Elephas maximus indicus: one gene and its partners. The protein of the gene in region 1 purifies or fractionates together with the protein of each later gene. This does not show direct contact. Links are inferred from orthologs where the notes say so. Each region holds a gene or a part of one and is shown on either strand. Other genes may lie near its edges.

What was found.
Region 2: the proteins of PPP1CC (region 1) and PLCL2 purify together in Homo sapiens (affinity purification with mass spectrometry; 3 studies listed by BioGRID and IntAct, counting the BioPlex papers as one, with this or other methods). This does not show direct contact. The link is inferred for Elephas maximus indicus from reciprocal best matches to the Homo sapiens genes PPP1CC and PLCL2.
Region 3: the proteins of PPP1CC (region 1) and PPP1R9A purify together in Homo sapiens (affinity purification with mass spectrometry; 6 studies listed by BioGRID and IntAct, counting the BioPlex papers as one, with this or other methods). This does not show direct contact. The link is inferred for Elephas maximus indicus from reciprocal best matches to the Homo sapiens genes PPP1CC and PPP1R9A.
Region 4: the proteins of PPP1CC (region 1) and ADISSP purify together in Homo sapiens (affinity purification with mass spectrometry; 5 studies listed by BioGRID and IntAct, counting the BioPlex papers as one, with this or other methods). This does not show direct contact. The link is inferred for Elephas maximus indicus from reciprocal best matches to the Homo sapiens genes PPP1CC and ADISSP.

What each region holds. Positions count from the first base shown.
Region 1 is NC_064840.1:9,270,410-9,277,992, forward strand, and holds the start of PPP1CC (serine/threonine-protein phosphatase PP1-gamma catalytic subunit), read right to left. Parts: upstream 3,496-7,583; 5' UTR 3,278-3,495; coding exon 3,223-3,277; intron 1-3,222. UniProt on the Homo sapiens protein: Protein phosphatase that associates with over 200 regulatory proteins to form highly specific holoenzymes which dephosphorylate hundreds of biological targets.
Region 2 is NC_064845.1:23,278,486-23,286,829, forward strand, and holds the start of PLCL2 (inactive phospholipase C-like protein 2), read right to left. Parts: upstream 3,193-8,344; 5' UTR 3,100-3,192; intron 3,031-3,099; exon of another isoform or gene 2,685-3,030; intron 2,628-2,684; coding exon of another isoform or gene 2,370-2,627; 5' UTR 2,333-2,369; coding exon of another isoform or gene 2,225-2,332; coding exon 1,895-2,224; intron 1-1,894. Other genes in the region: atherin-like, read left to right, coding at 2,223-2,332, 2,370-2,627, 7,949-8,063. UniProt on the Homo sapiens protein: May play an role in the regulation of Ins(1,4,5)P3 around the endoplasmic reticulum.
Region 3 is NC_064826.1:64,809,025-64,816,802, reverse strand, and holds the start of PPP1R9A (neurabin-1), read right to left. Parts: upstream 3,235-7,778; 5' UTR 3,092-3,234; intron 2,838-3,091; exon of another isoform or gene 2,773-2,837; intron 2,710-2,772; exon of another isoform or gene 2,642-2,709; intron 2,398-2,641; 5' UTR 2,191-2,397; intron 897-2,190; 5' UTR 684-896; coding exon 1-683. UniProt on the Homo sapiens protein: Binds to actin filaments (F-actin) and shows cross-linking activity. Binds along the sides of the F-actin. May be involved in neurite formation. Inhibits protein phosphatase 1-alpha activity.
Region 4 is NC_064843.1:42,367,594-42,375,384, forward strand, and holds the start of ADISSP (UPF0687 protein C20orf27 homolog), read right to left. Parts: upstream 3,583-7,791; 5' UTR 3,358-3,582; intron 648-3,357; exon of another isoform or gene 1-647. UniProt on the Homo sapiens protein: Adipocyte-secreted protein (adipokine) that acts as a key regulator for white adipose tissue (WAT) thermogenesis and glucose homeostasis at least in part through activation of protein kinase A (PKA).

The DNA of each region.
Region 1 (7,583 bases):
GTCAAAATCTTAAAAATTATTTGACTAACAACAAAACTAAAATGCAATGTCTCATCCAGGAAGATTCTGTTTTCTTCCTTTGGTGACTGCTTTAAGAATGTTCTCTTTTGCCATTATGTTTGTCCTTTGTTATCTTCAGGACCAGGGACCTCTCTGCCTTTTTAACATATGAACGTTTCATATTACATCAAGGACATTCAAACATCTTTGAGTTTCACAATATCTGAACACTCACCATCTTCAAAGAAACCCTCACAAATCAGATTTAAATTAATAAACTTTCCATGAGCCAGGGCAGAGGTCATACTTAAATCACTAAAGTAAGGCAGGCAATTACACAGAGCCTGGCCAGAGGAACTTCAAGTCCGACAATGGCCATTTTTAAAGCAAACCAGGTTGTGGAATCAGTCACAGCCGGCTGCTATGCAAGAAAAGCGCTGACCATCACTGCTCCTTGAGTGAGGTCGTTCACAAAGCACAACTGTGCCACAACTCGGTCTTTTCTCTAACACATAGACTATCACACCAAATCAACAGCTGATTGCTTTTGTCTCTAATTTCCCCATGCACGCTTTTACTACGTAGTTCTGTAAAAAGTGAGCATCATTTATACTAAGGAACAACCACTTCAAGGTTTTGTCATCAGCAAGGCAGAGCTCAGATAAAAGCTTCTACCTTCCCAGGTGGGTTGCAAAAGTGATGCCCAGCTTCAGGAAAAACTACTCCAAGTTCACAGTCAGACAACGGCAAAGCCGTAAGGACCAAGGTATAAATCAACACCAAGTTTTCTTAAACAGGACTTCACTTTTGAGTTCCCCTTTGTTACTTCTAAGCTAAGCTGCACAGTCCTGGACCTTAAATATCAGATAATTCTGAACATGTAAAGAAGTCTCACAAGGCCACAAAACTCATTTTCACATATACTGAAATATTAACTAAAAGTTTTAGGGAAAAAGGCTTTTGAAATATGTATTACAAACACTACCAAATTTATTATCAACGTCTCCCAACTGGGATGTATGCGTATCCTCGATGAATTATCTTGCGCAGTTTCTCTACCATCTTAACACCCACAAGAAAGAAATCTAAGAATACTGGGCAGCTAGCCTATTCCTCAGGCATTAAAATGTTCTGTTTTCTTCGTTTTCATTGGAAAAAACCTAGGAATTAAGAAACGATGACTGATCTCATTTTAGATGGGCCCATTTTATGAAGGTAAATTTCTTAGCACAATTTTCTTCCTTTTTAAGATTAAAATTACCAAAATCTGTTAGGTGAATAGTGTTACAGGCAAACCAGAACTTCAAGATTTAAATTATCTTAAAATTCTAATCCATGTGGATTCTAATTTTTTCGGTTTTTCTCTGAGAAATACCCCCCCCCCCAAAAAAACCACTGCCAGAGAGTAGTATATTCCGACTCACAGCGACCCTACAGGACAGAGCGGAACTGTCCCATAGGATTTCCAAGGAGTGGCTGGTAGATTCGAACTGCCGACCTTTTGGTTAGTAGCTACCTTTTGGTTAGCAGTCAATCATTTAACCACTGTGCCACCATAAAGCCATTCTAATATAGCCATACACCCCTGCACAGATGTGCAGAAGTTAATTTTAAAAACTGAAATAAAAATATTTAACAAAACGTTCGTTTTTCACTGCCAAAACGACCAACTACTGCTTCATATCAATCAAAGAACTGTACTAAATAACATGAAAAGTATTTGATCTTTTAGTCTCTGGTTCTTATAAGCACTGAATGAATGACAAGGTTTTCACCCACAAATGGTGGTGACATTTCAAGAGCATTTCAGGGGTCGTGAAATGAGTTTTCTTTTAAGAAAGCTACAAAATACTGTAGAACAGAAGAAAAATGAAAGGCACTGATTAAGAATAGGAAAAGATTTTCTCAGGCATTTCATTTTAATGACTTCAAAAGATCTGCAAAACCCACTTTGCCCAGTTGTTCGTGCTCTAGCATGCACTCTGTGCATGCAAATTCAACCCTATTTGAGGACAGCAGTATCAAGCAAAAAGCAGTTACAACTCAGCCAAACTGACAACAATACCCTGTGCCCAGATCAAAAAAGGAAATTATGTGGCTGAATTCTTCCCAAGTCTGGGATGAGATATTTGTATTACTGGACATGCTTCCGAACCCGAAGGTGGCAGAGCAATTTCAGCTTTCCCTTTAAAATCTGAACCTCATCCCTCTCCCTATCAATAGGAGTCATTACCACGCACCTCAAACCTTAGGTTAAATTAAAGTTTTGTTTTAACCTTAGTTTATTCATGGGACATCACCTTCCGTTTTCCTTTGCACACAGGGTCATCTATAGGGTGACAGCTGAATGTAGCGAGTTCTGGATCCTGGCTTTGAAGCCTGTCACTTACTAGCTGTGTGACCTTGAAGAAGTGACTTCACTTCTCTGTGCCTTAGTTTCTTCTGTAAAACGGGGGAAAAAATTAAAAAAATAGCACCCACCTGGCAGGGTTGTGGGGACAATTAAGTGAAATCTGTGTAAAGTGCTCATAGAATGCCTGACGTATAGTAAGCGCTTTAGAAGTGTGCGCTATTATTGTAATTTGATGGACGCAAAGCACTTAACACAGCGCTTAAAACCTGGCACGTTTGAAAAGATGTTAACGATACTGTCACCCTCGCTGCTTTCCTGCTCAGGAAAAGAGCGCGGAGATCTCTTCAGCATAAGAACAACTTAAAACACTTGAGGAGCAGGGGAACTGATAAAAATAAAGCAAGATAGGAAAAAGCCCCCAAAGCTGGTGGAACCCAACCCCATCAAATTGCTTTTTGAGAAGAAAAGTACCAGAAACTCGATCCTGGCCGGATTAAAGTCCGGAACCCGCCGTCCTGCAGGTTGGATTGGAGCCCCCGACCTTCTCTCCTGCAAAGACTGGTCCACTTTGCGGGGCTCAAGGGGCAGGGGCGGGAAACGTGGGGGTGCGATGCGAAGTTTTCAAATTTCAGGCCAAGAAAAAGACTGCAACCTCGTGCAATGAATGAGCGGGGCCGCGGGTTGAGCCAAGTTCGGGATCCCGGCCCGGCCTCCCTCCAGCTGCAGCCCCCGGCCCGCCGGCCAACTCGCGGGTTCGCTCCCCCAGTGCTGCAAGCCCAACCGGCCCCCCAACTCTCCTCCCGCGAGCGCCCCTGGCTGCCCACAGCCCCAGCGCTCGCCTCCCCTCAGCCGCCCGCCGTCCCTCTCACCTTCCAGTAGCCGTTGGATGATGCTGTCGATGTTGAGTTTGTCTATATCCGCCATCGCCTTCCCACCGCCGACCCTCCCGCAGCGGCGCCGCCGCCGGCTCGCGCCCGGGACTCGCACTCCTTCCCCACGCCACGAGCACAGAGGCAGTGGTGGCGGCGGTGGCAGCAGCCGCGGCGGGTCCCCCCAGCCGCCCCGCTCCCTGCTTCCTCCTTCTCTCCCCACTGGAACCACGAGAAGAACAAAATGGCCGCCGACTCCTCAGCCAACCTCGGGCGGCGCACGGATGCGCGCGGGGGAGTGCAGCGGCCCGACCGGGACTTCTTTATGGGCCATAGGGCGCGCGGGAGGGGGCGGGCCCGGGCGCGGAAGGGGGCGTGGCCAGAGCGCGGGAAGGGGGAGGAGACCGTTGAGAGTGACTGGGCCCTCACGCAGATCCTTCCGCCAAACGGGTCGACCAAATAGGCCCCCCGGCCCGAGCGTGAGTTGCAAAGTTGCACGCGGGAGTTGGGGTTGCGAGGAGAGGGGGCGCGGAACACACGTGTGCGCTCCGAGCTTTGCGGCTTCCGCAGGGTTGTGTTCGTTGGGGCCACGTGTTTGTAGACTTGGCCACGTGGATGTCCAGCAACGGATTTTATGCGGTTCTGGAATTTATGCTTTAAAATAAATCTGGTGTGGGGATGGGGGTGGAGAGGGAGGATAATAAAGAGATGTATGTTGATTTATTTTGCCTTCAGAAAATGTTAACAATTATTCATTCTAAGCGGTGGGAAATATGGGTGTTGTATATTATTTCTCTGCGCACTTTTGTGACACTTACATTAAAAAAAAAAGATGTTTAAAAATCTACACACACACACACAAAAAAATCCATCATCCCTGTCTTTAGATTATCTTTCCTGCACTCGGCAATTACATAATCATCGGAACGGCTACCCTGATTCTAGCCAGAGCGAAGTTGAAAGAGCGCGTGCACAGGAGATAAAGGGAGAGTTTGCAGATTTCGCGCGTCGGAGCTGAGGCCGGAAGAGAAGTTTGCAGAGGCCGGCAGTGCGGGCTGGGGCCGGGTTCTACAGATCCCCAGTGAAACTTCGGGCCACTCCCCTCCCGCTTCCCAACAGCTCCAAGGTGCATCCCTCTCCGTGGGGGCTAGAGATGGTGGCACCTCCGGGGGCTGCGCATGGCTTTTAGTTGGATTTTGAAGTGCAGCCCACACTCAGCAAACATTCTCTTTCCTGACCTTTCCGCACATCTCTTTTTCCCTGCAACGCTTTACAGTTTGGAAAGCCCTTCCCCTCCTCCGAGAAATTAATTTGATTTCTCAAGGGACGCAGGATGCAGGAATTCCCATCCCCAAATGCCCTCGCGGTGATGGCGCCACCTGGGCAGCCATCTTCGGAAGCGGTGCGCTCCTGGGGGCCCTGGCTTCATGCACCTGGGCGCCCCCCCACCCACTACTGTCGCCGGGGGGTTGGAGTGTGGGGCTCTCCTGGCTGTCCGGAATCGCCAGCTCATTCTCCCGTGCTGTGACTGTGTCCGCCGCAAGTCATACTAGTGTCCCTTGTCAGTCCAGGGCACTGAGCCCAACTGGTGACATTCGAAGTCGGTGCCCAGCACTGCTGTGAACAGCTGGTTGGTGAGGGCTGGGTGGCTCACGCCGGAGTCCACGAGACCTTGGGCTGCTCCAGGGCAAGGCGCGTCATCGCAATGGCAATGAGCGCAGGAATCTGAAAGACGGCAATTCATTGGGCAGCCAAATATTTATGGAGCACCTACTCTGTGCCAGGCATTGTTCTGGGCCGAGAAGCAAGGGTGAGCAAGACAGACAAGGTCCCTCTCTCATGGAACATCATCTAGTTAGCCAGACAGACAATAAACAGAGACGCAAATAAAAATACCAGCTTCTGATAAGTGCAGTGGGGAAAAGCACAAACACTGCGCTCATGTTTTTTAGTACGTGCCAAAACATCTCATTGAATCCCCAAGCCAGTTCTAGGAATTGTGTACCATTCCTATCATCCGCATTTTACAGATGAAGTAAGGCACAGAGGACTAGGTCAGTTGCTGAAGGTCACACAGCTAGTAAGTTACGGAGTCAGGGTGGGACATCCTGAAACCAAAGCCCTTGTTCATATTCAGTGAATCCCGAGCACCTAGCACGATTCTGGCACACAGCAGCCCCTTCACAGATAGAGAACCCAATGGAATGATATAAAGATGCATTGAGCCACAAGAAGACTGCTGGAAGTTTCCATATGCAAAGTGGCAGGTGTGTTAGTCTCTGTCGACATCACGTGGTTGTAGGAGAACTTCAGACTGGGCTGGGACGCTGGGAGGGCCTCTATCCACACGCCATTCTCCGCGTGGGCAACTCCCTCCAGAGCCCAGTTTCGCTGGCACATGCCTGAGGGAATTAGCTGGCTCCAAGCCTGAGAGTGGCCTGAGCTCAAGGGGAAGGTCTGAGCAGCTCCTGGGAACCGCAGTTCATGGAGGAAAGAACTGATTCCCTGTTGGTCTTTGCTACCAAGATCAATCCTAGTGGATAATGGGATGAACTCTTCCCCCATCCCGACCCTCCACCTCCCACCCCATCACACCCCCTTGCTGATGCAAGAATTTGCCAGAAAGTCTATTGCCTAATGGATGGAGTGTCCCTTCCTCTTTCCAGGCCTGTTTGCTTATCTGCAAAATGAGGAGAGTAGATTAAAATTTATTTCTTTCAAATGAACTTCCTGCTGAGGAAAATGGGGAGCTGACAGGATTCTAGTCCCTGGCCCTCTCAAGTCAACCAAAGCAGAGCCACAGCACACAGTAACTGCTAAATTGATATTAACTATCACTACTATTGGAACCCTGGCGGCGCAGTGGTTGAGAACTTGGCTGCTAAGCAAAAGATCAGAAGTTTGAACTCACCAGCTGCCGCTCCTTGGAAACCCTATGTGGCAGTTCTATTCTGTGCTATAGGGTCGCTATGAGTTGGAACCATAGCGATGACTCATAGATTCGCTAATGAGTTGGAAATGGGTTTGATTTTTTTTGTTTATTATTACTATTAAAGGAGGTCTGGTAGTGCAGTTGTTAAGCAGCGGCTGCTAACCAAAAAGGTTGACAGTTTGAACCCACTAGCCAGCCGCTCTACAGCAGAAAGATGTGGCAGTCTGCTTCCATAAAGATTAAAAAAAAGAAACAAAAATGAAACCCATTGCAGTCAAGTCAATTCCAACTCATAGTGACCCTATAGGACAGAGTAGAACTGCCTCATAGAGTTTCCAAGGAGCACCTGGTAGATTTGAACTGTGGACTCTTTGGTTAGCAGCTATAGCACTTAACCACTATACCACCAGGGTTTCCTCTATAGAGGTTACAGCCTTGGAAACCCTATAAGGTGCTTCTACTCTGTCCTACAGGGTCACTATGAGTCTGAGTCGACTTGACGGCAATGGGCTTTATTATTACTATTACTACCACGCATCTGTCAGTTTGTTGTACTTTGGTGGCTTGTGAGTTGCTACGATGCTGGAAGCTATGCCACCTGCATTTCAAATACCAGCAGGGCTACACAGGGTGGACAGGTTTCAAGGAAATTCCAGACTAAGACAGACTAGGAGAAAAGACCTGACAATCTGCTTCTGAAAATTAGCTGATGAAACCCTACGGATCACAATAGAATACTGTCTGATATAATGCTGCAGGATGAGCCGTCCGAGGTTAGAAGGCACTCAGAACACACAGTGGCCACAACAATGGACTGGAGCATACCAACAATTGTGAAGATGGCACAGGACTGAGCGATGTTTCCTTCTGTTGTCCGTGGGGTTGCCTTGAGTTGGAGCTGACTCCATGGCTACTCACAACGAACCCGAACAACATTATCACTGTTATCTGTTTAATACATTGAGCTTTCGTGTAACATTTGAAGTAATTTAAAATAAGAGATTTGAAAACCAATTATATCTGTAAGCCATCCTTAGGCTTTGAGGGGGATCTAGCTGGCTGGGTAGAGACTGCAGTGAACTGGGGAACCCACATCCCATCTAAAGGGGTGGCCACTTCCCAGCTCCAGTTTGTTGGAGCCAAATGGGAACATGGGCCCAGTGTGGCCAGATCCTCAGATTTTTCAGGAGAATTTGGATTTTTATGTAAAATGTTTCAATCTTTAAAATTTGGTCAAGAATTCAAATTCTTCTAAGACACAGTCTGCAGCAGACAAAGCATGTCTGTGGGCTACATTGGGTCCCTGGGCGAAAATTTGAATTCCCATCTAGAAGATTGGGGTGAACTCTTTTCCTTCCATTCCCCCCCAATTTGGTGAGCACTAAGGATTATCATTAAATGATTGAAAGAAGTGCTGACGATGAGGTTC
Region 2 (8,344 bases), on another chromosome or scaffold:
TTTGGTTAGCAGCCATAGCTCTTAACCACTACACCACCAGGGTTTCCTTGCCTCCATTAGGAGGAAAGAAAGTGAGAAAATAACTGTCAAAGTTTCAGAATTCCATAAAAGTATCAACGTCATTTCTAAAACCAGTGATTTCTGAACAATTAACCATGTTCCCATGTTCTTCCAGCGCACTCAATGAAGAAATATCTCCTAAATTCTCAATTCCCTATATCAGAAATACTGATACATCACCCTCTTTCTACTCTCCCATGAATGTAATTAAAACAGATGCTGATTGTAACTAAATAAGTTACACTATGAATCCCACTATAGACACCAACGAAGTTTACATTTTAAATGCAAATAATAAACCCTAAAAAAAAAAAAATTGGAGGAGGTGGTTAAAATCGGTAGGCTGGTATCTTCTCTGGAACTCTGATGTCAAAGTTCATTAACTCAACACCACAAAGCAAAATTATGACAAATATTTGGTAACCAACAAAAGCAATGACATGTAACTCTGTCAGTGGTATTGATTACTATGCACAGTTGAAAGCAACTTTCACGGAAACGTAAGCCACAGAGCGAAAGAAAATATAAGTCACTAAAAGCTACGTATGCAGCAAAAACACATTTTACTTTCCTTAGCTTAACTCTAAACATGTGCTGCACGCAGTTAAAACACTTGATCTTTAAGTCCTTCATTTGTGCCCTTGCCCAGACATAAACTGTGCAAACAGATGACATGGCGAAAGGCAGTTTCACAACTGTGTTACATAGAGTGTATCAAGGTGGTATATTTCACTAGACGATTGAAGAAGTTGCTAACATCATCAGACATTTTTACAGTACTTGGGAGATTTCTTACAGATCCAATTAAATTCCACATACCACCAGTGTCAACTCTCTTCACTGTGGCACGTTCTGTCTTCTCTCCCACCAGCTATCAGCCACAGGAAGTCTGGTTGCAGCCCTGTCAATGTGCTTTACTGCTCACGTCCTAGTAACCCCTTGATTTTGAGAAAGCCACATTTTCATATTTACTCCAAACTTGCAGAATGAGCTAGTCTTGCCTCAGGCTTTGCTCTTCCTAGCTCATCAACTTTTTTTTCACTTTCTGTCACAAGAAATATTTTTACATTGCGACCAAAGGGCAATATTAGAAGGAAACCACAACAAACTGAGGAGTTTCAAATATTACTTCTTGAGTTTAAAATGCACAAAACAAGCGCTGGCTTTCTTCTGCTAAATAACACGGTGCAAAAGATAAGAAACCCGAGCAAACTGCCCAAAAGAACTTCCACAGAAGAACTGGAGGCCTGCCTACTGCAGTAAGGAAAAGATTAAAGCGTGTAGTACTGTAATCTCTCAGGGCTTTTGAGCCCAAGAAGACAGAAATCTGCATTTATGCTCAGAAACCTACTTCATTTCTCCATATGACTGAATGACTATATAGATTGTGTACCCTCCAAATATAACCATTTGCAAGAGACAACTACATACACAAATCAGAAGAAACCTATTAAATAATCTCTGTTCACCTCTTGGAATTTTTAAGAAAATGTTTCCACGTAATCCTCAACTGTCCTTGAAATACACAGGGTGTCTTTTACCAACACAGGCTACCGGAGACAGAGCATACCCTGCCCAGGCAGGTACAGGTCATAATTCCAGGCCAATTCTGCAAGAGGTGACAGCCTCAAGTTTAACTGGGGATGCCTGCACACAGCTCCCGCTGCACCTTGGGGATCACCTCTCCATTCTTTCCAAATGCCATTTGCATCCAACCCGTGTTCCTGTTAGCAGTGGGCTCCCCCTACATCTCCCTCCTTACACTCCCTTCCCCCGTGGAAACAGACCCCGAGGCCGGCTGGGGGTGGGCTATCAGCGCCCTTCTTCCACCTACCTTGATGATGCTGCTCCGGCGGGGCAGGCCGCCCGGCTTGCTCTCCCGGGGGAGGGGACCAGCGGCCGGACTGGGAGTCAGGGCGAGCGCAGCTCCCCGGGGTCCCCTGGCGGGGCTGGCTTGGGCTTCGTCCCCGGACACGCCGAGGCTGCAGTCTCCGTTGGAAACCCCGCCGCTGTCATAGCGCGCCCGCCCCTGGCCGAGGCGACCTCCCCCGCCGCCACCGCCTTCCCCGGCTGCGGCTTTCAGGGAGCCCTTGGCACCGAGGGCCGGGCTCGGGGAGGTGGGCAGGGCCCCGCCGGCGGTGCCCCCCCGGCCGCACTCCGCCATGGGCGCCCCGCGACCCGCCAGCACAAAGCCGCGTCCCCGCGTCCCCGCCGCCGCCTCGGGCCGCCGCGCGGCCCCTCCTCCTCTCCTCCTCCCGCCGCCGCCGCCTCGGCTGCTTCTTCCGCTTTTTTTTTTTTTTTTAATTTAGATGTGATGTTTGTTTCGAGCTCGCCTCGCGCACGGTTAAAGTCGTGGCGACAGAATTATCAGAAGATTCCTGCAGGGGAGAGAAGAGAGAGACCCGAGTCAGCGCCCGCGGCGGCGGAGCCGGGCTCCCGGCACCTGGGGAAGGAAAACACGCCCCGACACACGCGCCGCCGCGGGCGCCAAAAATAACCCGCGCGGCCCGGCGCCCACCCCGGGGTAAAGGAGCTCCCAGCCCAAGGGCGCGAGGTTCCACCCCGAGGTAACACGCGCTCTCCCAGGGGCGCAGGGCACCCGCCCCGGGCTCGGGGGCACCCACCGAGCGGGAACGGGGCACCCTCCCTGGGGGCTCGGGCACCCACTCGGCGGACCAGGACGCCCACTTGGGGCGCAGGGCCAAGGGGAAACGGCGGACGCTCCAACGCTGTCCGGCCACACGGAGGCGCCTCCCGAGGGTCACGCGGCCCCGGGCGGACCCCAACTCCTGAGGCCGCCGCGTGCCGGGCCCCTCGGTGCTCTCCGCCCCAGCCCCGGGACCTGCCGAGACCCGCGGCGCGGGGAGGAAGCGCGCGGCGGCCAGGGGCGGCTCGGCGGTCCCAGACCCGGGTGCGGCCCGAGGGGCAGCTCCCCGAGGGGGGACTGCGGACCCACCCGGCCCGCGGCCATCTCCGCCCGCGCTCGGCGCTGCCCCCTACAGGCCGCGGGGACCCTCCCGCCTCCTTCCCCCGACCCACCGCCGCCGCCGGGCTCCTGCTCGAGGTCGCCGCCGTCGCGGCTGCTCTCGCCGCGGCCGGGTCATCGGGCCAAGGCGACCTCGCTGCCGAGGGACGGCGACGGGCGGCGGCCGCGAGTTCTTAATACCCTCCGCCCCTCCGGTGGATCTGCCGCAACTGCCAATCACCCGCCCGGGGCCCCGAGGCGCAACGACCGCACAGGCCACGGGGCCTGGAGCGCAGCTCCGGCCTCGGGGGCTCAGCCGCTGCGCCTCCCGCTTCTCCCCGCCATCCAGACGAAAACCAAGCCCATTGCCGTCGAGTCGACTCCGTCCGACTCACAGCGTCCCAAGCAGTTCAGGAAAATGCTATCCGGAAGACCCCTCATTGGGCTTCCCCAGCCGGGCAGACCCATCTCACGTATTAAAACCAATCCCGTTTCCTTGGGCTCCTGAACTGTGAATTGATCCAACTAGTTGCAAAGATGCTGGGGGCGGCGGGAGTGAGGGGTGAGAAGCAGAGGATATAGGCAGAGCGTATCCTGTGCTCTTAGGCACCCCTCACTGATTTCCGCCATCCCTCCCAGCCCGCTGCCTAATCTCGCCCCCAGTGACGCCAGGTGGTCCAGTCCCCTGCGGGCCCCGCCCTGGGTCAGGCTCATCTTTGGGGGTAACGCCTCAGCCGGTTCCTTTGGTCCCCCCTAACAGGCTTCAGGGAAACACTGGTGGCTAGTTGTTAAGTGCTACAGCTGCTAACCGAAGGGTCGGCAGTTCGAATCCGCCAGGCGCTCCTTGGAAACTCTATGGGGAAATTCTACTCTGTCCTATAGGGTCGCTATGAATCGGAATCAACTCCTCAGCACTGGGTCCGCCTAAAACAACCCTGATCACGTCGTTCCCCTGAACAAAAACCTCCCTCGCACCTGACAGGGCCTGAGGCCCCACCCTGCCTAGCCCCACCCACCTCTCCATCCCAGGCTCCCTGGGCTCCAGCTTCACACCCTTCTGTCGCACCCTACACTTCGATCCAACTTGTGTTCCCTTTTCGGGAAATACACTCCTGCAGGACGCAAAGGAGAAGCTGATCCCATCTGCTGGGGGGATGAACTTGAAGACCTTGTTATTAGCATGATGTGTAGCAAACTGCCAAGTAGTCTTGGAGGAAACCTGTTTTACGTTCATATACATACCTACTCTTGCCCTAGAAAGCATCCAACACCTTCCCGTTATTCTTGGGGGCGTTTTAATTCTTCTGATCCTCTGGATTCATGTTTTTGTTACCCTCGATTGAGCTTCTATCCATCTCTTGCCAACCTGGGCCTACACTAACAAATATTTTCCCATCGATGGGCAACAATGTCTTCTTCTTTTATTCAGTTCCATCTCTTTGCTACCTTTCTTTTCTAGTTTTGTTTTAAAAATAGTAGTGTTTTCTGTCTTGTGATAGTTTTGCAAAAAAATAGATCCAAATAATTCAAATTAGATTCTTAATCTGCTTTATCTGATTTAAAAGCATAATGGTAAGTTTGCTATGGGGGAAGGAAAGAATGCTGGAGCCTTTATTCTTCAAGTTCTCTAACTTTGATATTTTGAGTAAATGCCTGGAGGTATTTCTGCCCTTTCTGCATTCGTATCTAATTTTTCTCCACACATTGACCAATCCCTAGTATAATGCTAGGAGAGCCATTTAGTTTACAAGGATGGCAATGGGTTTCCTGGGGTGAGTGGGGGCATATTGAGGTTTAAAACTCCAGGATGCTTTTTCTAAAGCCACCATTTCATTCCCTAATGCCCTCCAAAATGAGCACCTATCCATCTCACTCTGCACTCCCAACAGGTCAAACCAGGGAGACTTCGTTGAAATAGACGTGGCATTTAAATTAAAATGTTTCCCCAAGCATCTTGGCAGACCTGTAACTAATGATGCCAGAAGCCCAAGGCCTGTGCCAGGTTTCTTTTTATCCCCGTAAGTGCTTGTCTCCCACAAGCCGCTGGTCACACGCTTGCTGTACTTCTTCATCACACAAACAGCCAAACTGTAGGCACTGTTTCTTCGATACGGGGATGGGAAGCAGCGTGTTCCTCTGACACAGGCAATTTTCAGCTCCCAACTGGCTTTTTAATAGCTAAACTCAGATTTTTTTTTTCCATCATGAACAGCAGAGTAAGCAATTGTTTCTCCTCCTTCCTGCTTGTCCTCTGCAGTTACTAAGTGATTGCTTGCCATTTCTCCTATTCCATGAGCAATGTTATTGAAGAAATTGTAAATATTTTGCCAGAATTCTTGCTGAAGTGTTTTCATAGCATTTTAAAATTCATAGAAATTAGAGTTGGAAAAAGAGCCAAAACATCATAGTCATTCTTCAGCAAATTCTAATAGTTCTTTCAGACTAACTCTCAGAGCAGAGCAATAAGATATAGACAAAAACCAAAAACGTATTAATAAAATGCTCAATCTGGGTAACACCATGATGCCTGGGCCAATTTATTTCTTATATCCATATACTAATGGTTGGGTTCTGATGAATAATTTTTCATAATTTTAAAAGTCAATAAAAAGTCTTTAAAATTTTACATCCATATCATACCAGCAGTATATAGTTTTAACTCTTTTCAACTTTTCCTCATATTTCAATGAGTCTCAGCTTTTAATCATTGTCACTCTTCACCAAACTGTCTTCAGTTTGTCTACCTCTTTAAGTAGATGTCTAAAACTTGAGCTGTTCAAGCTGCTGGGCCATAAAATCCTCCCTTCGGCCTCCCAAAATAACACTGACGCTGTTGGCTGACTTCTTGCTGCCATTCATACTCTTGTAGGTTATGGATTCCTATCTAGTTTCCAGTTCGCAGGCTCTAACATTACAACTGTCCGGATTTTTCTGACTCACTGCACACTTGGCCTTCAGATTATTTTCTCCCTCGATGTATTATGACAGTTTTCATTTCCCAAACTTCGATCTCATTTGATTTCCTGTTGTTCTCTAAAGACGCTGTTCAATATCTGAGCCTTCTTATTCGATGGCTCTCCACATGCTTAATGTGAGAGCTAACTTGAGCAGAAAGCGGGAGACCAAACTGCTGCAAGGAGATAGCAGATTCTGTCAATGTGCTGGTCCACACTGGAGTCCCATTTGCTTCCTGAGTCAATCCAAGATGTTGATTTTAAACTATTATGCTCCTATGGTTTGCATTATGTTTATTTTATCATGACACTCAATATGAAGGGATGTATAGAAATTGCCTTTCTCCCAGGGCAAGAGTGTGGCAAGTTAGACCTGCCAAAAACATTCACTTCCATCTTCTTCCTCTCTTCTGACAATAAAGATCCTTTACCCATTTTCCTTGGAGCTGTCTTCTACCAAAGGAGCCCTGGTGTTGCAGTGGTTAAAGCACTCAGCTGCTAACTGGAAAGTCAGTGATTCGAACCCACCAGTAGCTCTGCAGAGAAAATTTGGCTATCTACTTCCACAAAGATTACAGCCTTAGAAACCCTATGGGGGCAGTTCTACTCTGTCCTGTAGGGTCCTATGAGTCAGAATCAACTCGGGTTTGGTTGCGAACAAGTTAGGCACTCAGGGAATTACAGTGCCACCCAGCCACTGAAGAACAACTGTGTGAATTCATTAAATCATTCTCTGTGGCTGTTGAGTTACGTAGCACTGTGAGGGAATCTATGTATTAGCAGGGATTTCATAAGATTATTCTATCAGCAAAAATAAAACAGCATAGATTAATATGATTCACTCCAAAAATTACTGTTGCTTATCACAACACTTTATAAATTCTCTCTCATGTATTTGACTGCATTTCTACTATTATTTTATTACCGGAGCCACTGCAAAAACTCAAATGCCTGTGGGAGCCAGGCAGGTGATGTAATGAGTGAAGCTGCATGGGTTTGTTCCCTAATAGCATCAAAATTTGTAATTTTTCAACATTGATATACTTTGTATATCAAATATAGAGGATTACCCTTCCCAATTCATCCTTGGTTTTCCAGCTTTTATAGAGGCATGGATATAAGAAATATCTCACTTACCTCTTAACTCCAAGAAATATGGTAGGAGCATAATGATAAATAGCAACCGGACACTTAGCCAGTTGGGGGCTGGGGACAGCAGTATGGACAATGGGGACTCAGGTAACCTGATGAGGAATCTTCGTGTTCCATGAGGGAATCTTGGCTCAATGCTGCCAGAATCATCTTACTTTTCAAGACAAGCCAAAAATCTGGAATATGAAACTTGCTATTGTGTTGGCTAATTGTTTTAAGAGAGAAATGTCCATAAAATGACGTCTCTACATATTGTTCTTTATAATGTCTTCAGGGAGAGCTATTTTTTTTTCAGTTTCTCATGAATGTCATCAGAATTTTCTATCAACTTTTCAGCCATATTCCTGTGATTTTTTTTTTTTTGCTCCCAACTCACGTTTCCTTTATCCACCTATTCCCACATCCAAACCCCAGAACTGTTTCATCTCTGAAAGCTTACACTAAAACCCACCCACTGCCGTCGAGTCGATTCCGACTCATAGCGACCCTATAGGACAGAGTAGAACTGCCCCATAGAGTTTCCAAGGAGCGCCTGGCAGATCTGAACTGCCCACTTCTTGGTTAGCAGCCATAGCACTTAACCACTACTCCACTTTACACTAAGAAACCCATTTTCAGCCCCAAACTCTGTCCTTTTATCAAACCCATTCCCTTACTTCCCCTAAACACACCTGCTAATCTTAGCAAGACCTTTACTTCCTCCACCTGCTTCTATTCTCTCAATTTATCAGCACTCTTGTCTATACTTTTTTCCCAGACTGGGCCTCATGGCTAAGACTTTCAACCACATTCTCACCAGCATGTCCTTGTCCTTCAGGTGTGCCCACCTTGACAATCTACAGCTTTCCATAAATCCAGCTATGGGCTTTCTCCATACCTGCTCTCTGACTACCACTCTGCTGGAAAAGAAAAATATCACAGAGCCAACCTGACCTGAACCATTCAAATGTATGATTTCTTCAACAACAAAAAGATAAAAACCCAACTAAAAACGGGCAAAGAACTTGAATGGACATTTCTCCAAATAAAATACACAAATGGCCCATAAGTGAAAAGATGTTCAATATTATTAGTCATTAAGGAAATGCAAATGGAACCTCAATGTGATGCCACTTCACACCCACTAGGATAGCTACTACCAGAAAAATGGAAAACAGCAAGTGTTGGCCAAGGATATGCAGTCCTGACCTGGTGGCAATGTAAAATGGAGCAG
Region 3 (7,778 bases), on another chromosome or scaffold:
TCATTGTTTTCAGCCTTCTCTGAAATGATGGCACTGGGAGAATCAGAGTTCTCAAATACTGCACTCAGTTGACTCACAGTTGGAGAGACAGCCTCTGTCCGAGAGCTAAGACTGTCCAAGGAATCAGTACTGCCTCTATTGGACTTGGACCCACCCCACTCATCCTGAGGTTCACTACCTCCAGCTTTCTCCTCTTTCTTTGGGGAATAGCGGTTGTTTTGTCCTGATTCATGCACACTTCTCTCAAACATTTTCCGAGTTTCTGTGAACTTAGAATATGAAGGGCCATCGTACATTGTGTCAAATCTACTAATTCGTTCTGAAACAGAGGACTCCAACTTAACAACTGAGCCATCTGTTTTCTCCAGAAATTCTCTGGGCTTCATTCTTCTCTGAGGAGATGAAGGTCTACCTTTCCCCCTGGTTTTGGCAATGACTGCTGCATTCTCATTGGGTTCCATACCCATCTGCATAAATAAGTTTTTAATTCTATTGACATTGGAGCCATATTTCCTCCCCCTGCTCTGCTGAGAGCCCTCACCCTCTTTTGTTTTTTGCTCCCCATCTGACTTGGGTTTGTCAAAGGTGCTTTTCAGCGCCTGGAACTCAGTTCTATATGCATTCCTGTGAGGAGAGGCACTTCTGAGAGTGGTTCGTTCACCGGAAGACTCAGTTTTCAACATTTTTACTTCAGAAGTGAAAAGCCAATGTTCATAATGATCAAAAAAAGAAAAATATAAAACCACTCTCTTCTCTAATCATCAGTATTTGGCCAAGAAAAAGTATCTCTCAAATGGCACACTCAGTCAGTGATCCTCCCAACAGGTGTATTAGGGAATTATTCACAGGCAACAGTAACACAAAATGGCTTTTTCAAAGCAAGACTAGAAGTTCATCTGTAACAGAAAAGAATGAATTTCTGAATTCATTTATTTATTTGAATGTTTTTTAGTCCATTAATATATACTTTATTTTAAAAGTGGCTTGCCATATTTCAAACAAAACAAATTACTTATTGAAATGGAAAGTTAAAAAGTCAAGAAGATAAAAGTTGTAATTCTGTCCGGTCTTGGTAACAAAAATGTTTCAAACACAACCTGGAGCTCCCTAACAAAATCACACATACACACACACACGCACACAGAGGCACACACACACAGAGGCATGCACGCATACAAATTAAACAAAGTACACTTGAAAGCAATACTTTAGCTCCAGTTTTGGTTGTTTTTGTTAATGTCCTTAAAATAAAGCAGTTCAGATATCCTTAAGAAGTCATCAAACTGTCCATAAAATCAATTTCATTTGGGATTATCCAAAATCAGGTAGAATTTATTGTTTGATTACAATTAAAAGTTTGGAATCACTGTTTACAAACTCTTACCATGCTTGCTTCACTCTTTCTGGTCTCATATTCTCATCTATAACATCTCCAAAGCAACACTAGCACAATTTCAGACCAAAACATGCAGAAGAAAGTTTTAAAATATCAGTAAGTTTCACTCTAACTTTGGTTATATCAAATATTTGGAAGTTTTGGAAGGAGATGGAGAAAATCATGGGGATAAATGTATGAGAAAGTGACAACCAGAAAGCAAACACACCATGAAACCTCTCCTCATAGCCTTGATTTGTTTATTCCTTCTTGTCTCTGACTTACAAACTCAAAATTCAATGCATGCTTGCTGGTCTCCTCTAACCCACAGCTGGATTTTATATTAATATGCCAGAAATCAAATACTCCAAAATCTGCTAAAGAGCAGACAACAGAGTTTCTAGATTTTTTATTTTGTTTTGCTGTTGTTGTTGTCTGGGTTTGTTCTTTTTTTTTTTTTTTTTAATTAGACTGAGCCACATCACCTTAACACACAATCAGCTGAAGAAGCACACACTTTCACTTAAATCCTCTCCAAACTCAGTTCCTGGCCCAGTACACATGCATGGCCCATGCAGACAAACAAGAAGGGCTTTAGAGTGTGGTGCCTGTATTTTTCTTTTTTTTTTAAAGCATAGACAATCTCCTTTTACCCTTACATTTTTTTTAAGCCACAACACCCTCCCCTCCCCCCTACACCCCACTCCCTCCCCCGCCAATTCCAACCCGAGGGGGCGGGGGCGGGGGCGATAGGGCCGACGGGGGATTCAAAACCTGCCCTCACAAAAAAGAAGACAAACATAAATAACACCAACTTGAGAGGCAGCAGATTCCCAAGCCTGTTTCGGGACGCAATCCCTCGGCCCCGGGGCAGGGCCGGGAGAGCAGGTGACGCCAAGCGCTTTGGTAGGAGGTCGCAGTCAAGCTTTGTGCCAAGAAGCACCTGAAGTCCTAACACATTGGCTGCGGCTCCCGGCGGCTGCCAGGCGGATCCCAGTGTGGCACAGGGAAAGCCGAGCTCCCTGGCCACGTTAAAAAAAAAAAAAAATTACTGAGTAATGATAATAAATCCCTTTGTTTTTCCTCCCAACGTGCCAGGAAACAATAGATCCCACTGATAATGCCTCGGATCCTCAACCTACGGCTCCCCAACCACAGCCCACCCCCACCCGCAGCCTGCAACTCAGCCTTTGTACATCCCCGATTTTTTTCCTCCTCATCTCCACCCTCCCCAACTCCTCGCCCCGCGCACAGCCTCCCCCTTACCCGAGCGGGAGCCGCCGCAGGCGGGGAGGGTCGGGCCGCCGCGGCTCCCACCCCTCCCTATAGGCGCCCCCCCACCCCACGGTGGCCGCGGCTCGGCTACGCGCCGTCCTGCTCGCTGCCCCGCCACCCACCCGGCTCCTCACGGCGCAGGGAGGAGGGCGGCTGCGGCGGCCGCTGCCAGTCGCGCTTCGGCCCCCACGCGCGCCCTGCCCGTGGCGGGCGGCCCGGGGTGGCGCGCTGCGCTCCCCAACGCCATTGCGGGCGAGCGGGCGGCGGCCCGGGCACGGACGCGCTCGCACACTCGGGTGGCCGGGGTGGGGGTGCGGCCGGGGAAGGGGCTTCGGCCACGTGCGGTCACCCGCGGCGGACCGTTTGGCGGCCCGGGGAGGCCGGGGTGTAATGGAGGGAGGCCTCGTGGGTGAGGAAGGCCCGGGGTAACAGGTGCCTCACCTCGGCTGATGGAATTAACTCTAGGGCCGCAGAGAGAGGGAGCCCGGCAGCAAAATCCCAGGAGAGGGAGAGAGAGGGAGCCTCTGGCGGCCAACGAAGGGCGAAAAGCACGGAGCGGCCCGAGGCGAGGCCGCCCCACCCCCTCGGCCGGCAGCAGGCTAGGGGCCTCTGGGGCCTGGGACAGGCCTGCTCTTCTGGGGCCTGTCCGGTCTCCCGCACTGGTGCAGTTTTGGAGCTTCACGCTGCCGGAACCCGAGTTTGTCTGGAGTGTGTAGTTAACTCCATAACCCTAGGGCATGCAAAACTCCAGGTCACTATTCTGGGCCAAAACCTAGGCCATTTGGCGTCCCAGGCCTCCAACTAGGCCGCTGTGTCCTTAACCTTAGGCCCCAATGATAAAAGGAAAGGGACGAGAGTGTCTTCTCACTTTATTGTCATAAGGTGTGTTTTTCAACCCAGCCACGCTTTTATAAATGCTCAACATCCCCTGCACAAACACAAAATACCGGCAGTGTTATACCTTACTACAAAATATAAAACTGATTATAACTGTCAATATAAAGTTTTCAACCAATCCTCCTAAAAACTCTTATAAAGAAAAAGTTCTTTATTGTTGTTAGCTCCCCTCAGTTGCCCTGATTCATGGTGACCCCATTCACAAGGGATCAGACCATGGTGATCCATAGAGTTTTCATTGGTTCATTTTTTGGAAGTAGATTATCAGGCCTTTCTTTCTACTCTGTCTCAGTGTGGAAACTCCAGCTGAAACCTCACCATAGCAATACACAAGCCTCCACTGGCAGACAATCGTAACTGTGCCTTAGGTACATCGGTGGGGAATTGGCCTGGGTCTCCTGCAGGAAAAGTGATCATTATGCTACTGAACCACCATTGTCTTGTACTCAAAAATTTTACTAGATTCTTTAATTAGAGGAGGGAACCACTGAGATATTGCAATCCATTCAAATTAGAATCTGAAGAACACGCAAAAGCAAAACTGGTTAATATATTGTTGTTAGTTGCCTTCAGTTGGCTCTGACTAATGGCAACTGTTTGTATAGCAGAACAAAACATTGCCTGGTTCTGTGCCATCTTCATGATTGTTGGTACATGTGAGTCCATTGTTGCGGCCATTGTGTAGTGGCTTCCAACCTAAGGGAGTTATCTTCCAGCACTATATTGGACAATATTCTGCTGTCATCCATAAGGAGTTTCCCACTGTCTAATGTTCAAAAGTATATCACCAGGCCTTCCTTCATAGTCTGTCTTAGTCCGGAAGCTCCTCTGAGACTTATCCACTGTGGGTAACCCTGCTCGTATTTGAAATACCAATGGCATGGCTTACAGCATCATAGCAACATGCAAGCCACCACAGCATGACAAACTGACAGACAAGGGATGGAATATTCTACAGGGCACTAAAATGAAATGTTTGGAGTTATCTCTTCTAATGGAAGCCCTGGTGGTGTAGTGGTTAAGTGCTACCGCTGCTAACCAAAGAGGCTGGCGGTTCAAATCCACGAGGTGCTCCTTGGAAACTCTGTGGGGCAGTTCTACTCTATCTTATAGCGTCTCTATGAGTCGGAATTGACTTGAGGGCAGTGGGTTTGGTTTTTTGAAATGGGACAAAACTTAATTGTATCCCTCAAGGACAAACTAAATTTATATTTCTACAGATAAAAGTCATTTGTGTTACCATAAGTTTCTACAACTGACTTAGCTGCATAAGCAAAGTCAGTCAAAGATGCAGGCTACTACAGAATCAGATAAAACTCCGGAAGATCGTGTAGATAAAAGGATTTCTTCCACTAATCCTTTGCCCATTTCAGTCTTTCACAAGTCTTTTCAACAGAACTAATATTATCTGTATTTACAGTTGGGAAACCGAGGCTTGGGTTTAGTAACTTACCCTCAACTTTATCAGCTAGTGGAGCCATGGTGGCACAGTGGTTAAAGGCCTTGGCTGTTGAGTCGCTAACCAAAAGGTTGGCAGTTCAAAGCTACCAGCCGCTCCTCAGGAGAAAAATTCTGCTTGTGTAAAGATTACAGCCTTGGCCTATAAACCAATACCAAACCTGTTGCCATCGAGTTGATTCCGAGTCATAGCAACCCTATAGGATAGAGTAGAACTGCCCCGTAGGGCTTCCAATGAGCGGCTGGTGGATTTGAACTGCCAGCATTTTGGTTAGCAGCCATAGTTCTCCATAGTTATTAACCGCTGCGCCACCGGGGCTCCTGGAAACCCTCTGGGGCAGCTCTACTCTGTCCTACAGGGTCTCTATATGTCGTAATTGACTCGATGGCAATGGGTTTGGTTTGGGTTTGGGTTTATTACCTAGTAAATGGTTATGGCTTGGTATGAACCCAGGCAACTCTGTACACAGAATCTATACTCTGGGAATAAAATCCTTCTCCCTTAAATTCAGAAGGACTTGTAACTACCCAATTCTATATATCTTTTAATTTGAAGAATAAGTTTTTTTGTTTGTTTGTTTTTTGTTCTTTTCCCCAAGCCTCACCAAATTCTGGGGCCCTTCCCAAGAAATTGGCATTTTCTGTCCAGGTAGTAGATGTCACATCTATAAGTATAAACAGATGTAACAGGCAATGTGAGGGGGCTGTGGTTCCAGTCTCCACTTTTGGAAGGAGCATTTGTGCTGTCTGGGATAATTTAGTGGAAAAGTTCCTGTCATTTAGTTGCAGTATGGAAACCAGATTTTTTAGGAGAATAAGTTAAATAAATGCAGAACCCCATCACTGAGTTCTGTCTGTAGAAGAGGGGGCAGAGCTGGCAATAAAATCAGTCTTACACCTCTTTGCAATAAGATGATTCATACAGAAAAGCAGCCTAAAGAACTTGGTTGAATTTGGGGTTTATTTTTTGAAAATGTGAAACTTCTAGAAAAACATATACTGAAAGAATGAATGACAGTGTTTTTAAAACAACATTGATAATTTAAGACACTCAGATTGTCCATAATCTACCTCCCACTTCTAACACTTAGCTGATTGTTTGAAGATACGTGCTATCTCATACATGTGGCTATTTAAATTTAAATTTTGTTGTTGTTGTTGTCAGATGCCATCGAGTCTGTTCCTATTCATAGTGACCCTATGTACAATGGAACGAAACATTGTCCAGTCCTGTGCCATCCTCACAATCATTATTATGCTTAAGCCCATTGTTGCAGCCACCGTGTCAATCCATCTCACTCAGGGCCTTCCTCTATTTCACTGACCCTGTACTTTACCAAGCTTGATGTCCTTCTACAGAGACTGCCCTTCTAATAACATGTCCAAAGTATGTAAGATGTAGTCTCACCATCCTTCCTTTTAAAGAACACTCTGGCTGTTCATCTTCCAAGACAGATTTGTTGGTTCTTTTGGCTGTCCATTGGTATATTCAATATTCATATTGGTATATTCATATTCAATATTCTTCACCAATACCATAATTCAAAGGCATGAATTCTTCTTCAGTCTTCCTTATTCTTTTTCTAGCTTTCACATGCATATGAGGCCACTGAAAACACAATGGCTTGAGTCAGGCGCACCTTAGTTTTCAAGGTAACATCTTTGCTTATTAACACTTCAAAGTGGTCTTTTGCAGCAGATTTGCCCAAGGCAATACATCTTTTAATTTCCTGACTGCTGCTTCTGTGGGTGTTGATTGTGGATCCAAGTAAAATGAAATTCTTGACACCTTCAATCTTTTCCCTGTTTATCATGATGTCGCTTAGTGGTCCACTTGTGAGAATTTTTGTTTTCTTTATGTTGAGGTGAAAGCCATACTGAAGACTGTGGTCTTTGATCATCATCAACAAGTGCTTCAAGTCTTCTTCACTTTCAGCAAGCAAGGCTGTGTCATCTGCATAACACAGGTTGTTAATGAGTCCTCTTCCAGTCCTGATGCCTCCTTTTTCTTCATATAGTCCAGCTTCTCAGATTATTTCCTCAGCATGCAGATTGAATAGGTATGGTGAAAGGAAACAATCCTGGCACACACTCTTCCTGACTTTAAACCTCAAAGTATCCCCTTGTTCTGTTTGAACGACTACCTCTTGATCTATGTACAAGTTCCTCATGAGCACAATTAAGTGTTCTGGAATTCCCATTCTTTGCAATGTTATCCATAATTTGTTATAATCCACACAGTCGAGTGCCTTTGCACAGTCAATAAAACACAAGTAAACATCTTTCTAGTATTCTCTGCTTTCAGCCAGGATCCATCTAACCCTGATTGCATATCCTCTTCTGAATCCAGCTTGAATTTCTGGCAGCTCCCTGTCAATATACTGCTGCAGCTGCTTTTGAGTAATCTCCAGCAAAATTTTACTTGCCTGTGATATTAATGGTATTGTTTAATAATTCCCACCTTCGGTGGGATCACCGTTCTTGGAAATAGGCATAAATATAGATCTCTTCCAGTCAGTTGGCCAGGTAGTGGTCTTCCAAATTTCTTGGCATAGAAAAGTAAGCACTGCCTGCTATGCATGTGTTTGTTGAAACATCTCAATTGGTATTCCGTCAGTTCCTGGATGCCTTTTTTTTTCCTCAATGCCTTCAGTGCAGCTTGAACTTCTTCTTTCAGTACAATTGGTTTATGCTCGTGTGGTATCTCCTGAAATGGTTGAACATTGACCAATTCTTTTTGGTGAAGTGACTATGTATTCCTTTCATCTTCTTT
Region 4 (7,791 bases), on another chromosome or scaffold:
TTGAGGGCATTCTTCACACTGTCTTCAGTATCGCTCCCCCTCCCCTACCTCACAGTATGGTCCCCCACTGGGCATCCCTCTGGCCTTGCTACAGAGACTGAGAGCCCACTAAGGGCAGGACCCGCACCTCATGCAGAGCACCCAGTGTTCAGTGCAGAGCAAGCACTCAGGAACTGCCTGTAACTCTCATAGTGAGAAGACAGGGGGAGGCAGCTGACTTCAGGGGCTTAAAAGCAAAAATACCAAACCAGCTGCCTTCTAGTCGATTCTGACTCATGGAGACCCCATGTGTGCCCTGAGAGGTAGAACTGTGCTCCATGAGATTTTCATGGCTGTGACCTTTCAGAAGCAGATCACCAGGTCTTTCTTCCGAGGCATCTCTGGCAGGTTTGAACTGCCAACCTTTCAGTTAGTAGTCGAGGACTTAACCACTTGTGCCACCCAGGGACTCCAGAAGGCTAGAGGACCAACCTCCTTCCACAGCAAAGGGCCTTGCCAATCACTGGCCCCTTGTCCACACACAATTCCTCGTTATAAGCTGGAATAGAGGGGGTGGGCCTCTCCCTGCTACGGTCTTGTCCAGGGAACTACTAGGCCCCAAGCGAGCCCAAGGCTGGCCCTACCTCCAGCCTCCTCCTGTGTCAGCCCAATCCTCAGCTTGCCCCAAGTGGCACAGTCCTTCCCACCTCCCACCCGTCCCACCCCCAGGCAATAGGGAGATGATCAGGAGCGTGGGCTCCAGAGCCCAGCAGTCCTGGTTCAAATTCAGGCTCTGGCCCTTGCTGGCCACGTGACTGGGGGCAAATAACTTCAATTCTCTGACCTTGGTTTCCTCATCTGTAACACAGGAATAAGCGGCAGCCTCTCCCTCACAGGGCTCAGTGAACACTAACCCACAGGGTGCGGCAAGTAGAGCTGCTGCCTGAAGCTCTGTAACGACACGTTCCCCCAGCGTGTCCCCCCACCTCTGTGAAAGCAAACCCCAAAGGCTGGTTTCTGAAGCAACAACAACTTCAGGAAGGCACTGGCAGAGGTGCTTCAGGCTCTTCCCGCAACAGCCAGGAAGGGCCCTCAGGGTAGGCTCCAGGGACTTCAGCCTTCTCAGAAAACAGCCCAAGGATTGAAAAGACCTCCCTCCTCCTTCTCTCCTCCTGCCCTCCCTACTCCTGGCAACCAGGCCCCCAGCAGGGCCAGAGAGAAGGCTGCTTGGAGCCCCTGTTCCTCCCAACCAGAGGATCCAGGTGCCATCCGGACTGGGTCTCCACCCTCTGTCCTGATCACAAGGAAGATGTGGAGAATGTGCATCCTAGGAAATGCCACCAGGGAGGAACATGGTGCCCCCCTCAAAAAATAAAAAAAATGACAACTGCCCCTGCCTTTGATGGGCTATCAACAGGTCAAGGGTAGGACCCTAAACAGTCATAGATAGGAAGGGCTGGAAAGTTGGGACAAGGACCTTAAGGGCTTCTGTTGCTCTCAGTTGCTCTCAGGGAAAATGGGGAGAACTCCCCTCTGGGGGACAGAGAGCTTTAGAAATAAAGGCTAGTTCCAGGCTACTCGGCCCAGGCAGCACTCAGCCAGGCCCAGGGGAGCGTCTGGCCTGAGGAACAGGCTCACAGGCACCGCAAGTGGGCAGACAGATGGACGGTCACACAGGAACCCAGAGTTCTCAGCACCCTAGACTCCAGCCCTGGAGGGCGCTAGTTGCTACTGCAGGTGTCCAGTGCTGGGCCCAAGGCTGCGGACTGGAGGAAGGGCTAAAGCAACAACAGTCTATCCACAGCAAAGCAGAGCTCAGGAAGCCGCCGCTCACCCCTATAGCTGTACTCCCCACACCACCTGCCCCAGAGACAGCTCTCAAATCCAAGGCATCGTGGGGCAACCCAGATTGTTCTCCCCACCATTGTGTGGTCGGGCTATGCCCCCAACCTCTCAAGGCCTTGCTCCTCATTTATTCCTCAATCTCCATTCTCAGCCTGTTCCAAGGACTTTGGGCCAGGAACTCTATAACCTCCCACCCTTCTCACCTCTCCCTTCCCCTCCCAACCTCAAACACTCAGTCCAGCAGAAGCCCCATCCAGCCTCCCATTAAATCTCAGGCCTATAAAGGGATCGCTGCCCATGGAGGACTTGAGACAGGGTCACAGTGACCTCCTGACTCCCAGGATCTGATACAGGACTGGGCACACAACAGGGTCCCTGTATACCTAGAACAAGGCCTGGAAAGGCAAGGCTGGAGGTCAGGTGTAGTTGTGAAGGCTTCACATAAACTCAGTCTTGATGCGACCTCATTTTCCCTTTCCTCCAGATAAGCCAAGGGTGCAAAGCTAAGTATGGGTGTTCTCTCTCTCACAAAAGGTGGGGTGCGGGGGGGGGGATGTTGAACTGGGGAAAGGATCTCCCCATCCCACACCCTCCTGTCTCCCCAAGAAGCGCTGCCATCCTCTGTACAGCATCCTTCCATCTCCTCATAAACACACCCCCAGCTAGAGGGTGCTTAGGTTCCCCTAGCCTCCAGACTGCCTGCCCCTCCCAGGCCCCTCCCTGGGCCTGTGGTCCTGGGGACCCAAGTAGAGGCCAGGCCAGGGGTCAGGGGAAGGGGGAAACAGCTGCCTCTGACCTTCCTCAGCCCCTGGGGCAGAGAAACACCCTTCCTGATTCCCCAGTGCCAAGATTCAAGAGGAAAGGAACCTAAAGCCTATCTTCTCCGTCCAGCAGAACCCCTGCTCAACTAACCGCAACACAGGTTCGAATCCCTTCTGGTGCATGACACAGGGAGCCGGCAGTGGCACCAGGAGCCGGCAGTGGCACCAGGAGCCCCGGACGTAGGACCCTGTATCCTCGCCTCTCCCGCCGCCATCCTGGTGGGTGTGGCGCTCCCATTCAGCCCCATTATCATCTTCTCGCAGACAGAATCGCTGGACGTCCTCTCATTATACCCCTGCGAGGCAGAGGTTCTGTCCCTCAGAGATAACCTGGGGCGCTTCCCACCTTCACCTCGGCTGACGCAGGAGTCTTGGGAGCTCCCGTCCCCCGATATCACCGCTCCCCTTCCCAGGGGTGCCGAGACCGCGGAGGCTCAGAGTTACTACTCGTCCAAGGTCACACAAAGAGGCGGTGGCAGTGGCGGGGGGGTGTCGGGGCTGACCCCATTACGCCCCTGCCCTCACTGTGACACCCCTGCCCCCAACAGCGCCCCGCGGAGAACACCCTTGCCCCACCAACTAACGGTCACCCACGTCTCCGGGTTCTGTCATCTCCCCACCTCAGGGGCCCGGGAAGCTCTCCAGAGCCCGGCCCCCCCAATGGAGCCCCCCGCCCCAGTCCCTCCCCGACAGCCGACGGGGTCCCCAGTACCTTCTGCCTAGGACGGGGCCGGGACCGGGAGGGGATCTAGGCGAGCGAGGCGGAACCGGCAGGCGGCAGAGGAAGGTCAGTCTCGCCAAGCGGGGCACACCCCGGGGCTGGGCTGGGCCAGGACTACAGCCGCAGCGACGGTGGCAGCAGCGGCGGCGGCAGCAGCGGCGGCGGCAACAGCGGCGGCAGCGGCGGGGGCCCAGCGCAGAGCACTAGCAGACAGCCCGCGCCGCGCCGCCCGCCTCACCGGCACGCCTCCGCCTACGCCCATTGGTCGGTCCGAGGGGCTGGGCGAGAGCCTCTGCCGACCAATGAGCAGGCGCCAGAGAACCGCCAACAGGCGATATGCCGCCAGAGTCACGTGCCGGAGGCGCCGCGACTGCGCTTTGCGAGTCCGAGCCAACCAAGGCCCGGCGAGTTCTCGCGATGAAGACAGCCGGGCCGTCCTGACCAGGCCTGGTGCCCGGAGGGGCAGAAGGAAAGGGAGGTGGGAGGAGCCTCCTGGTAGGCCCCGCCCCCGCCCCACCTCCGGCGGTGCAGCTTGCACCTCCTGCCTTGGCCTCCACCTGGGAGGTGCCCTCCGTGGACCCTGTACCCTCGGGCGGCAGTCGGACAAAGCTTGGGCCGAAATGCTAGGTTCAGAGGCAGGTCACCTTTCTCCCTAGGCTCCCACGCCCTCCTCGGCAACTGATACGGGCATCACTAGGTCCTGTCCCAAAAGGCCCTGAAAAACCAAAACCCGGCGCCGTCGAGTCGATTCCGACTCATAGCGATCATATTGGACAGAGTAGAACTGCCCCTAGAGTTTCCAAAGAGCACCTGGTGGATTCCAACTGCCAACCCTTTGTTTAGCAGTCGTAGCACTTAACCACTACACCACCAGGGTTTCCTCCAGGCCCTGAGGAACCCTCCATTCTTCCCCCTGTGACCCTCGGCCTCTTCCTCCTCCACCCCATACACCTGCCTCGGAGGAGGCGCTCCTGCTTGGACCTGACACAAGTCCTCGGAGCCCCGCCCGGCCCGGAATAAGCTTCAGAACAAAGAAAGCACGTGGGGGTGGGGGTTGGAAGAGACTGTGCAGGCGCCCCCGGGGACCTCAGCCTCTGCTCTCAATCTCCATGGAGGCAGTCGCCATGGCAGCGAGATGCGCCTAGCTCGGCGCCGTGGGGTGGGATGTGGGCGCCTCCACCGCGCGAGGGAACGAGAGGCGTGGTTCTCGGATCTTCAGGGGTCCCAACAGCAGCCCCACCTGCCCATCCGTGAGCCCACCCCTCCACCCCGCCCTCCGGTTCCGCCTGCGGTAGACAGGTTCCCAAGTGCCCGCGGGGAGCTGCGCAAAGCTTGGGGCTCCCCTTCCAACGTGACTAGGGGGGAGATGGCTTGGGCGGCTGGGGGCCCCGCTTCCTTTCAGTAGGGCCGGGATTGCGGCCTTTGGAGAGCCCTCAAGGCTTCCACCCTCTGGATCTCTGGCTCGCTGCGGCCCCTAATCTATATCCCAATCTCCGGCCTGCATGCAGTTGGCAAATTAATCTTCCTGAGCTATTGTTTCCACCGCCACCCTCCCCGGCTCCAAACAGTCCCCCGACTGTCTCTAGCTAGCAGAGCTTCGCAAACTTTTTAGCAGCACCTTGGGTAAATCGTGCGCACTCTGGCGTTTGAGATGTGGGCATCCAGCGCCGCCGACACTGGGAGCTTTCCACGGCCTGATCCCAAGTGACCTACTCCTGCCAGAGGCTTTTGCCCTCTTACACCCCTGTCGCATGGGCCCTGCTGTGCTCCCCAACTGTATTCCCATCTCTATTCTTTTCTTCAGAAACCGTGGTGGTGTAGTGATTAAGAGCTACAGCTGCCAACCAAAAGGTCAGCAGTTCGAATCCACCAGGAGCTCGTTGGAAACTATGGGGCAGTTCTACTTTGTCCTGTAGGGTCGCTATGAGTCAGAATTGACTCAATGGCAAAGGGTTTTTATTCTTTTCCTCAAGTCCTAAAGTTGGTAGACAGTGGGCCCAAAGTAGCCTGCAGATTTTGTTAAGCCTACCTGGAGCTTTTTTTTTTTTTTGGATTCCAGATTTCTAGGCTTCTTTGGAAATACCAGATTTAGCAACACAGGTTCACTTTCTGCCCTTGCACCAAACTCTGGCCCTGAGTGGTAGGGCCACTCCAATTTATTATATAACAAAACTGATTACCCGCCGTGTCTAATCCAACTCATGGCAACTCCGTGTGTATCGGAGTAGAACTGTGCTCCAGAGAATTTTCAATGACTGTGACCTTTCAGAAACATCACCAGGCCTTTCTTCCAAGGTACCTCTGGGTGGTTTGAACGGCCAGCCTTTAAGCTAATAACCCAGTTCTTAACAGTTTGTACCACCTTAAAAAAAAAAAAAAAAGCCCACTGCCATGGAGTCAATTCAGACTCACAGTGACCCTATGGGCCCCCAATTTACTGTATAGTCTCTACCACTCCCTGTTTCCTCACCTTTGTTTTTCCTTCCAGGTCTGTGCAGGCATTTCACTTTGTGATCCTGCCCTCCTCCTTTTACTACCCTCCCACCTGGAATGCCCTTCCCACTCTCCTTTCATACACAAAACACCCTTCCTTCAAATCCAGGTTAACGCCTACCTTTTTTTTTTTTTTTTTATGAAGTCTTTCTCCTCACAACCATCTTTGGTGTGGGCTGTGGAAAACACACAGACTAGCAGCCTGGGGCTATTTCCTTACTGGCAATTCCTTGTAACAAATATTTACTGTGTGTATATGGTAAGCAAGCAACTGTACTAGGCTCTGTGGAGTTGAAAGCACTCACAGCTTCGTGTGGGAGGCACACCCCACAAAAACAGCCGTGGTATTCTCCCTTCCAAGTACTCTTCATACTGCTAAGTGGTGGGCAGTCTGGTTCACTGGCCAACTGGAAGGACCTGCAATACTGAGTTCCCCATGCCTGGGGATACTACAGGCTCCCAGGGAAGTCCCCAGAGCCACAGTGGGTACGGATAGTTCTGGAAAGTCTCCAGAGGAAGAAAGAAAAGGAAGGAAATGACCTCTTTGTGCAGGGTCTAATGTACATGGTTGCCCCACTGCTGCCCAATGGGCCTGTGTACCCAGAAGAGGGTGTGTCAACATCAACGTGATGCTGAGGCCCTGGGACTTCCTGTGCAAAGGGCCTTACTAGAGGGAAGCCCTAGGCCTCTGCCAGGCTTCCTTGAGATGGGGGCAGTATGGTAAGGAATTAGGAACACTCCGAGTTAGGAGAGTAAGTTGAGCACATACAGGACATCTTCCCCAGCTGTAAACGCATGGTATTCTGGATTCTATTACTTTTAATAATAAAAAACAACTATGACCACTTTGGAAAACTGTTTGGCAGTGCCTAATAAAGCTGATAAATACCAATCCTATGACCCAGCAATTCCACTCTTAAGTATACAGCAAGACACATGTATACAGGTATTTATGGCAGTGCTATTGTAATAGCCCTAAACTGGAAATTACCCAAATATCCATCAACAATAGAAAATAAATAAATTGTGCTCTATTCATACTTGGAACCCTGGTGGTGCAGTGGTGAAGAGCACGGCTTCTAACCAAAAGGTTGGCAGTTCGAATCCACCAGCTAGCCTCTCTTTAGAAACCCTATGGGGCAGTTCTATTTGGTCCTATAAGGTTGCTATGAGTCAGAATCAACTTGACAGCAATGGGGTTGTTTGTTTGTTTTAATCCATACAAAGGTATTGTTATGGATTGAATTGTGTCCCCCCAAAATAAATTTTGGAATCCTAACCCCTATACCTGTGGTTGTAATCCCATTTGGGAATAGAGTTTTCTTATCAGTGTAGGGTGTATCTGAAATCTAACCATTTCTGAGACACGAATAGAGCAGATTAGGCACAGAGAAGTAAGCACAAATGAAGGGGAAGGTAGGTGTCACATGGAAATTGCCAGGGAACCAAGGAATGCAGGGGCTGCAGAAACAGAAAGAGATATTGCCCCGGAGACAACAGAGAGAGAGCCTTTCCCTAGAGTCAGTGTCCCAAATTCAGACTTCTAGCCTCCTAAACTGTGAGAAAATACATTTCTCTTCATTGAGCCACTCACTTCTGGTATTTCTGTCGTAGTAGCACTGGCTAAGACAGGTATGTTATACAATAGTAACAAATAACAATCTACTGAATACATACAACAACATAGATGACTTCTGTAGATATAATATCAAGCAAAAGAAGTCCAACACAAAAATAATATATACTGTATTGTACATTCTAGCACGTGTCTTTAAGTGAATGTGTGTGCATTTATCTTGAGTAGAGTGAACTACATTTCCCAGAATTCCCTTTAATGTATGTTTTTTATTTAGGACGGATCACAAGAGACATTCTTGAATGAGATTTGGAGAGTAGAAGAAAAGCAGTGGCATATTGTTTTTTACACTTGGA